2 linked regions of the Neurospora crassa OR74A genome follow. The protein of the gene in region 1 purifies or fractionates together with the protein of each later gene. This does not show direct contact. Links are inferred from orthologs where the notes say so. Each region holds a gene or a part of one and is shown on either strand. Other genes may lie near its edges.

Region 1 (4,474 bases):
GTATAGCTAAATATTAATATAGCTATAATAAGAATAATACGGTTATAATATTCCTCGTCGATATTAGTTATTTTAATAATATCTATTATTCTAAACTAATTAACTATAAACTATAAAATTATAGTAACTATATTAGGAGCAATAGCTCTAAGGGTTAGCTAAGTCTCTTTCAGAGTATTCTCTAACTAAAATAAATTACTTAATTGAAAAATAGTAGTTAATTCATTACTTTAATAAATATTTTCAACCTCAAACTATCCGAAGAATAACTCAGTAAATAGGGCCTATATCTCTTTATATAGTATAAAAGTAGGGTAATTTAGACCATCGGGTATATTAACGGTATACTAAATAATAAGACTACTATTATTAAAAGCTTCCTTTATATTGTTATTTTCGTCGAAAAAACTAATAAAATCTATACTTCTACGCCTAACTTTAAACTACTCTACTATAAATACCTTAATATTAAACGACTTTAGTTTAATAACTTATCCTTTTATCGCTACTTTTATTACGCATTTACTATACCTTAATTGGAGGCGAGCCTAAAGGTCGAATATCTCTTTAATAATATTATAATTATTATCCTCTATAAGTGTATTATTGTAGTTTACTCTATTATCGACGTCTTGCTCTACTTATATATAATCCGGGACTTAAATATTAGATGGAGTAGAAGAGAGAGCAAATAATTCTTTAATTCCTAATAGTTTAGTTGCTAAAGAAGTACGTTAGTAATATGGTTATACTTAAGAGCGATTACGACGATGTTGTATGTGGGCTGGAAGATTGCGAATGGATTGCGCATCCTTGTGTTGGGAGTCTTCCTCTATGGTAATGATAATGAAATTGATACCGTTGGAAAGCTGTGATTTTTGCGATCCGAATTAACTAGAAACCCTCGTGATGCGACGTGTTGTTGTGAAGTTATAGTGTTGAGGTTGATATTCTGGGGGGTTGGTCAACCTCTACGCGATTCTAATCGAGTTGTGTACTCAGACCTCCTTGAGCGGAGGGCCAAAATATTGCCCGGTTTGGAAAGAAAATTCAATTTATCAATAAAATGCTGAGATTGTGGTATTCGTTACAGGTCCGTGCACGCCCGGGAGCTCAAGGTGGGTCTGAGCGCTGAGATAACTACTTAGCATCGATCCGGTTGTGAATTTGGTGCTCACTTGAACGAGGAAGTGCCTTGCAAACGGTTGTATCAAAAGCGTCCACGTCTCAGTGTCCTTGACGGTAAATAACTTGAACCTAAGTCACCCACAGATTAAGCAAGCACACGGAAGCTTCACTAGGGTGAAGATCAGACGACGCGGTGTTTTTCTGTTTGAATGAACAAGGTGTGTCAGTATGCCTTCAGCTTTCTGGAGCAATCATTGTGAGGCTGGGTGCTCACGATCCCAGTGGTGCCTAGCGTACTGTTGTTGGAGCGCCCGTCTTTGCCACACGCAACAGAGAACTTCCATTCCATAGATTCTACGTACCGCACTCACGACACTGACGGGCGTACGCTACGCTAGAAACTGAACGCTCAGACTCAAGGTACCGAGAGCGGGGACGCGCTAAAAAGGTACCGGCCTCTCAAAGTCGACCACCTCAGGGATTTTGGGGCAGGTGAGGTGCACCGACCCAGGCGAACCAGGGAGAATTGCGGTACAGACTGGACCTGGCGAACATCCCCCTGCGACCGCGACGACGCATCGAAACCTTCCCTTCCGTTGGCTGGAGTCCCGACTGGAGACTCAGTTCTCACTCACCACACACCCACACACCCACCCACCCACAGCACCCATCGATACTTCCACAGCCTGGCGGTCCTGGCAACGACCGCCCAGAAAGAGTTGCAGGGTGGAGCCCCAGGATTTATCTTTAACAGCCTCCCGACTGCCCTTGCTCTTCCCGAATTCGTTCATGCTGCCCTCCGCCTTCGCTTTTTTCCCTTCACTTCTTCTCCCTCACCTTGCGCCATTCTGGTTCTCTCCACCCTCCAGGCTCTCCACATCCTCTCTCTTTTTTTTTTCACACACTCGTTCCCTCGACCGGCCATCTCGATTTTTCGCGCACCCAAGACCTTGACGAGTTCCCGAGACCCTCGCTTTCCAGCCTTGGTCACCAAGTGACTTGCACCAAGACTCTGTCCACGGTCAAAGGTGTAAGCGGTCACCTCCAGCGGCGAATTTCTTTCTCTCCACGTCTCCCTTCCTAGCGACGACCGACGACAACATTTTCGACTCGGTTGCCCTGCAGACATCTTGCTAGCAACCCTTCGCCACTGTTTAGCGGCCGCTACCTCTACGGGTCGGATTTTGCGCCCTTACACATTCGTACGTACCTACTAGTGCCGACACCGCAACACGCTTTAGCAACCATGTCTTCGGGCTCTGAAGACGACAAGCCGCTCGCCAAGGTCAACGGCCACGGTACGTCAATGCTTCTGTGATCAGTCACACACTTTCATCCATCAGCCCTCGCTTATTTCACTCTATCCTCTGCCCCGTCACACTGTTTGCCAGCCGATCTGAGTCAACGTGTCATGCCTTCCATGGCCTCGTCTAAATGCAATCTGTCATTGTACCACGCCCATGAGACTAATCTTTTCTCTTCAACTATAGCCTCGGCGCCGACCATCTCCAAGGCCGATGATCGTGCCATGGACGCTGCTGATTCCAAGGTTCACATGGCTCCCGTTGGTGTCTCCATCCGTAATGGCCCCGTCGACCAGGACAGGATGGACGTCGACTCCTCAGTAAGCGGTCAGGCTAAGCGCAAATCGCGGACATCCATTGATCAGTCCATCAACTATAAGGATGACTCCAGTGATGACGAAGCACCCTTGGTAAGTTTCCCAGTCTTTGCAGCTTGGTATCCTTGCTTGGTCTGTGGCTGACCAGGACAGGCGAAACGTTCAAAAACACAACATAAGCAACCAGACTCCGATAGCGACGACGAGCCGATTGCGAAAAAAAATGGCGCGAGATTGCCTCCCTCCGCCAAGAATACGGATATGGACGTAGATTCTGATGACGACGAACCTCTCGGAAAGATCGCCGCGAAGAAGGCCAATATCGAGAAGGAAGCCGCCAAGGAAGCCAAGAGTATTCGTGCTGGTACCAAGGCCAAGAAGCCTGCTGCTAAGAAGGCCGTCAAGGATGAATCCTCCGATGACGAACCCCTTGCGAAACCCACCAAGCGACAGGTCAACGGCACAGCTGCGAAGAAGACGAATGGTGTGAAGAAGGAAGAGTCTGACTCGGATGTGCCCATCGCTAAGCGGGCGAAGAAGGCACCTGCCGCGAAGCCTGCTGCAAAGCCTGCTGCAAAGCCGGCTGCAAAGGCTGCCACGAAGGCCGCCCCGAAGGGCAAGGTTGCCGCTGTCAAGAAGTCCGTCAAGGAGGAATCGAAGGACATCACCGATGAGGACGATGAGGAAGAGGAGTATAAGTGGTGGGAGGAGTCGGCAAAGAAGGAAGATGACAGTATCAAGTGGACCACCTTGGAGCACAACGGCGTCATCTTCCCCGAGGATTACCAGCGTTTGCCCAAGGACGTCAAACTGCTCTACGATGGAACGCCGGTCGAACTCGATATCGAGGCCGAGGAAGCTGCGACCTTTTTCGGCTTCATGCTTAACTCGACGGTGAATGTTGAGAACCCAACTTTCCAGAAGAACTTCTTCAGGGACTTCAAGGAGATCCTAGATCGGACAGGTGGCGCCAAGGACAAGAATGGCAAAAAGGTTGACATCAAGGAATTCGAAAAACTCGACTTCTCCCAGTTGTGGGCTTACAAAGATGCTCAAACGAAGGCTAAGAATGCCCGGTCGTCAGCAGAGAAGAAGGCCGAGAAAGCCGAAAGGGACAAGAGGGACGCCCCCTATCTATATTGCAAGTGGGATGGGCGAAAAGAAAAGGTTGGTAACCCCAGAGTGGAAATTCCAGGACTTTTCCGTGGTCGCGGTGATCACCCCAAGACCGGGTGTATCAAGAAGCGTGTTTTGCCAGAGCAAATTACCATCAACATCGGCAAAGAGGCCAAGGTCCCAGAGCCGCCAGCTGGCCACAAGTGGAAGGCCGTTCAACATGACAACAAGGCAACTTGGCTCGCGATGTGGCAAGAGAACATCAACGGACACTACAAGTATGTGATGTTGGCAGCAAACAGTACTGTGAAGGGCAAGGCCGATTTCAAGAAGTTCGAAAAGGCCCGTGAGCTCAAGAAATACATTGATCGCATCCGTGCCGATTATACCAAGGACCTCAAGAGCGAGGTCATGGCTGACAGGCAACGCGCAACGGCCATGTACCTCATTGACAAGTTCGCTCTCAGAGCCGGTAACGAAAAGGATACCGAGAACGAGGCCGAGACTGTCGGTTGCTGCTCTCTCAAGTACGAGCACGTCACCCTCAGGGAACCCAACACTGTCATTTTCGACTTCTTGGGCAAGGACAGTATTCGTTTCTACAACGAG
Region 2 (4,454 bases), about 870 kb from region 1:
TGGCCGCGGCGGCGGCAGGTCTGGCGAAGCCGGAAGCCCGGCGCAAACACGTTCGGCAGATCATGGCGATTATCCCGGGGGATGGTCGGAGGTGTATGTGTGTAATCGTCGGCAGTCGGCCAGTGGGAATTACACCAAGGATCGGATCGATTGGATAGACAACTCGCTTAAATCAGCTTCACAGGTGCGAATGTAAAAAGACACGCCGGCCGGAAGTGGCTTTCGGCCTGGGGAGACGGACACGGGATGCGCGCGACGAATTGGAGGGGTGGGACGGGAGCTAAAAATTTCTACGGCGGGTGAAAAGCACCACTGGAGCAGTTTTGATATTGGACAGGAACCGTTGCAGCTGTTACTAGGGCAGTGACAACTAAAGCACTTTATGTATTCTATAGTCCAAATCTGCGAACTGTACAGACAACATACGTGCAGAAGAATAAATGAAAAAAATAAAAAAAATGGGAGGCCGAATTGAGTCCTGTTATTCCTCTAGTCCCCCGTGTGTCTGTTGTTGCCGAGTTCTGTTAATATTTACATGCCTGCTCGTAAGTCTCATTAAAGGGCCCGAGCACTCCTCTGGGGGTTGCTGAAGCCGAACGTCTGAAAGGGTGGTCCGCGATGTTATGGAGCCCCTTCCCGGTTCGACCATGACTGACTCGCTCTCCGGTTCTCGAGCGCACTGCCCTGCCAAAACTCTCGCTGCCCAGATCATTTCAGCCCCAAATCAGCTCGCTCCAGCTTGTACCCTCCGGTCTGCTCCCAGAATGATGGAGGAGAACTCATTGCTTTGGCTGGTTCGCGAAATGGTTCTGCTGCTCGAAAAGATAACCCTGGACACGGTTTTCGGAGAGTAGTTGGAGGTAGCGTTCTGTGTCAGAAACAAGTCAGCAAGAGAAGGGGAAAAAGCACCATCGCATGGCTGATTGCATGCAATTGCTGAATGGTTCTGCCGCCAAAGAACCACGGGAGATGGGAAGCACTCCTGTACCCACCTCTCAGATGTCCGCACTTCTCCAGATGGTTCACGCCCTCCCTATAATAGCACTTGGACAACTCCTCCCGCACCAGGCGACCCATCATAACTCGGACCCATTGCTCGCGGATAATGGCATCCTGGGCCTGCTTCAGGCGCTTCGTATCATTGTAGTCGACGCCGTCAAAGGTGGGCGGGACGGTGGGCTTCTTGGCCAGGAAGGCCGCCGATTCGGGAGTAGGCATTGCTGCTAGATGTGGGCGACTCGCGAGAGAAGACCGAAAGCACAAGTTGTCGTCAAACAAAGCTGTAGAGAGGGAGAGAGACGCAGCTTATCGTCCCGCACTTTCGTCTCGTCGATGATGCCGTTGCAACCAACACGGCGCATCTCTAAGCTCCAAGTGGTGCCCCGGTCGTATGGTGGCTCGAGCTTTACAGCACACCTGGGAAACCAGGCAGGCAGGGACGCGCTAGCCCAAATGCTGTTCGTCTTTCGGACCATGCAGTAAAGTTGCAATTGACGGGGGGTCGTGGGCCGTGGCAGGCATGGGAAGGAACTTTCAGGTGGAACGAACTTCCCCACCGCGGCTCGTGCGCGGGCCACCGCCTTCGCGTGTGTACATAACCTCCACCCGGATCCTCCACTGCCCCAGGTCCCCTGCCCCACTAGAAAGTCCCATATCAAAGTGTGATAACGATTTTTTTTTCTGCCGTAGGTTGATCAGCCAGAGATTTTACGGTACCCGCCACCCTCTGCTCCCCATTTAAACAGCAGTCTTCCCGACGAAATTTCTTTTCTTCAGACGCATCCTTTATCCCATTCATCATCTTCATCCTTCTTTTTTCTTCAATACCCTTTAGCGGATTCCATCACTTCATCACATCACTTTACAACAACCGCTATCATGGGCAAGAAGGATTCCGTCAAGGCCACCAAGGCCACCAAGGTCGCCAAGGCCGAGCCCGTCAAGGCTGCTAAGCCCGTCAAGGCCACCAAGGCTGAGAAGCCCTCCAAGAAGTCCAAGAAGGAGGAGTCCTCTTCCGAGGAGGAGGAGTCCGAGTCTGAGTCTTCTGAGGAGGAGTCCAGCGAGGATGAGTCCAGCGATGAGTCTTCCGATGAGGAGATGACCGACGCTCCTGCCGCCAAGGAGACCAAGAAGGCCGAGTCTTCCGACTCTGACTCCGATTCTGACTCTGACGACTCCGAGTCTGAGGAGACTTCCGAGGAGGAGAAGCCCGCCGTCAAGGAGGAGAAGAAGGAGAGCGTGAGTACAACATAACTTCCTCTTCATAGTATACATCTGCTAACCCACGTCTGCTTATAGTCCGATGATGAGGAGAGCGACTCCGACAACTCCGATTCCGACTCTGACTCTGACTCTTCCGAGTCCGAGGAGAAGTCTGAGTCCGAGGAGCCTTCCAAGAAGCGCAAGGCTGAGGAGTCCTCCGAGGAGGAGGAGGCTCCCAAGAAGGCCAAGACTGAGGAGGTTGCCGACGACAAGAGCACCCTCTGGGTTGGTAACCTCGGCTGGGGTATCGATGATGCTATCCTCTTGGCTGAGTTCGAGGACTGCGAGGGTGCTAAGAGCGCTCGCGTCGTCACTGACCGTGAGTCTGGCCGCTCGCGCGGTTTCGGCTACGTCGACTTTGCCACCAACGAGCAGGCGCAGAAGGCTTATGATGCCAAGAGCGGTGCTCTTCTTGAGGGCCGTGAGATGCGTCTCGACTTCGCTGCCAAGGATGCCGGCAACAAGCCCCAAGACAAGGCCGCCAACCGCGCTGCCAAGCACGGTGACACCATCTCTCCCGAGTCCGACACCCTCTTCGTCGGTAACATGCCCTTCTCCGCCGACGAGTCTGTCGTCTCCGACTTCTTCAACTCCGTCGCTTCCGTTGCCAGCCTCCGTATCCCTACTGACCAGTGAGTATCCCACTATACCTTTGTGTGCATCTTTGCCGAGCAGAGTTTTAACAGTCTTCTAGGGAGTCCGGCCGCCCCAAGGGCTTCGCCTATGTTACCTTCAACTCCGTTGAGGATGCCAAGAACGCTTTCGAGCAACTGAACGGCTCCGACCTCAATGGCCGTCCCGTCCGTCTCGACTACGCCAAGCCCCGTGACAACAACGGTGGCGGTGGTGGCTTCGGCGGCGGCCGCGGTGGTGGCCGTGGCGGTGGCCGTGGTGGTTTCGGTGGCCGTGGTGGTGGCCGTGGTGGCCGTGGTGACTTCGGTGGCCGTGGCGGTGGCCGCGGTGGCGGACGGGGTGGTTTCGGTGGCAGCCGTGGTGGCTTCCAGGGCAAGAAGACCACCTTCTAAAGTGGTCAAGTGGGATTCCCGCACACATTGGGGAATGTGATACCATAACCTGAGGGCATTGAAACACAGATTCGCACTGGAGGGCTTAGTGGGTTGTCGGCTTTTGAAATCTTACAGTGTCTCCTTCGTGGGAGATCGTGGGCTTTTTGAGAGATAACTGCTTCCCTGCTGCGTGGCAGGGAAAGCAAGCGATACCTGAGGGCTTGAAGATGGTGGTGAGCTGGTAGCTCTTTGACAGCTCGTTCGTACATGGCACGTCTGTTCTTTCTCAACAGGAAAGTTAGGACCTCTGCCGGTGGGCTTGTTGGCTGGTTCCATGACCCTTGCGCGGTCGTCTGCACTTTGGATTCGATGCATACCAGAAGAATGATGGGTTCCAAGTACTCTGTGGGCTCGTGGGCTCTTGTGGGCTTTAGCTGACAAAACGGAAGAACGGAAAAGCGAGGACCTGTACTTGCACATGCCACAAACATGTGTTCACACAGCCTTATCCAGTCTGTGCTTCGAGGGTGGTTCATCGTTTCCTGTTCTTTTCCGCATACTATTGTCATTGCTTCTTCCTGTGGGGTTACTAAAGAGGGCATCTAAAAGTTGGTTTGGGATTTTCCGGTACAATCACGGGGTCACCTGGGGGCACTTAAAATGGGTTTCGGGTCTTTTCTTTTTCTTTTTTTTTCATATCAGCATTTGCCCTTCACGATACATCATCGATGGCGTAACGGTACAGAACACGGGTGATCCTTCTTAACGAACATTACCCGGTAAGTAATCTGATACTCTTCCCCTGTTTCATATACCCAAGTCCCAACGGACTAGAAGTAGCAAGAAAGAAGTATTGTTCAGTAACTGTGTTGTTCCAATGATGTGACTTGCCGTTATGTATGTGATGTGGTATTTTGAGGCGTAGACTTGTGTGTATGTATGTCGATAGGATCTTCAAAAAACTGCTCGTTCACAAAAGTCTTGATCATTCGTCACGTGTTTCAACATGGTCACAGTTGACCGCGATAGCTCCCAAAGTGTCACGAAGCAAATCCCCAAAAAGTTGAATTCGATGAACTCGGTTCGTCTACAAGTCATCTCAACAGTCGATACACAAACAAGCCCAAACTAAAGCCAAAGTCACGCAACACCAACAAAAAAAGAACCTAGACCTGCGACCAAATC

Evidence for each region.
Region 2: the proteins of NCU09118 (region 1) and NCU03092 purify together in Saccharomyces cerevisiae (affinity purification with western blotting; 3 studies listed by BioGRID). This does not show direct contact. The link is inferred for Neurospora crassa OR74A from reciprocal best matches to the Saccharomyces cerevisiae genes TOP1 and NSR1.

What each region holds. Positions count from the first base shown.
Region 1 is NC_026501.1:5,391,556-5,396,029, reverse strand, and holds the start of NCU09118 (DNA topoisomerase I), read left to right. Parts: upstream 1-1,641; 5' UTR 1,642-2,374; coding exon 2,375-2,426; intron 2,427-2,618; coding exon 2,619-2,842; intron 2,843-2,902; coding exon 2,903-4,474.
Region 2 is NC_026501.1:4,518,150-4,522,603, reverse strand, and holds NCU03092 (nuclear localization sequence binding protein), read left to right. Parts: upstream 1-1,642; 5' UTR 1,643-1,878; coding exon 1,879-2,238; intron 2,239-2,298; coding exon 2,299-2,894; intron 2,895-2,956; coding exon 2,957-3,287; 3' UTR 3,288-4,133; downstream 4,134-4,454. Other genes in the region: NCU03094 (hypothetical protein), read right to left, coding at 1-64; nuo12.3 (NADH:ubiquinone oxidoreductase 12.3kD subunit), read right to left, coding at 780-868, 993-1,218. UniProt on the Saccharomyces cerevisiae protein: Involved in pre-rRNA processing. Specifically binds nuclear localization sequences. Candidate for a receptor at the nucleus that may be involved in both RNA and protein transport. Binds telomeric sequences of the type (TG[1-3])n in vitro.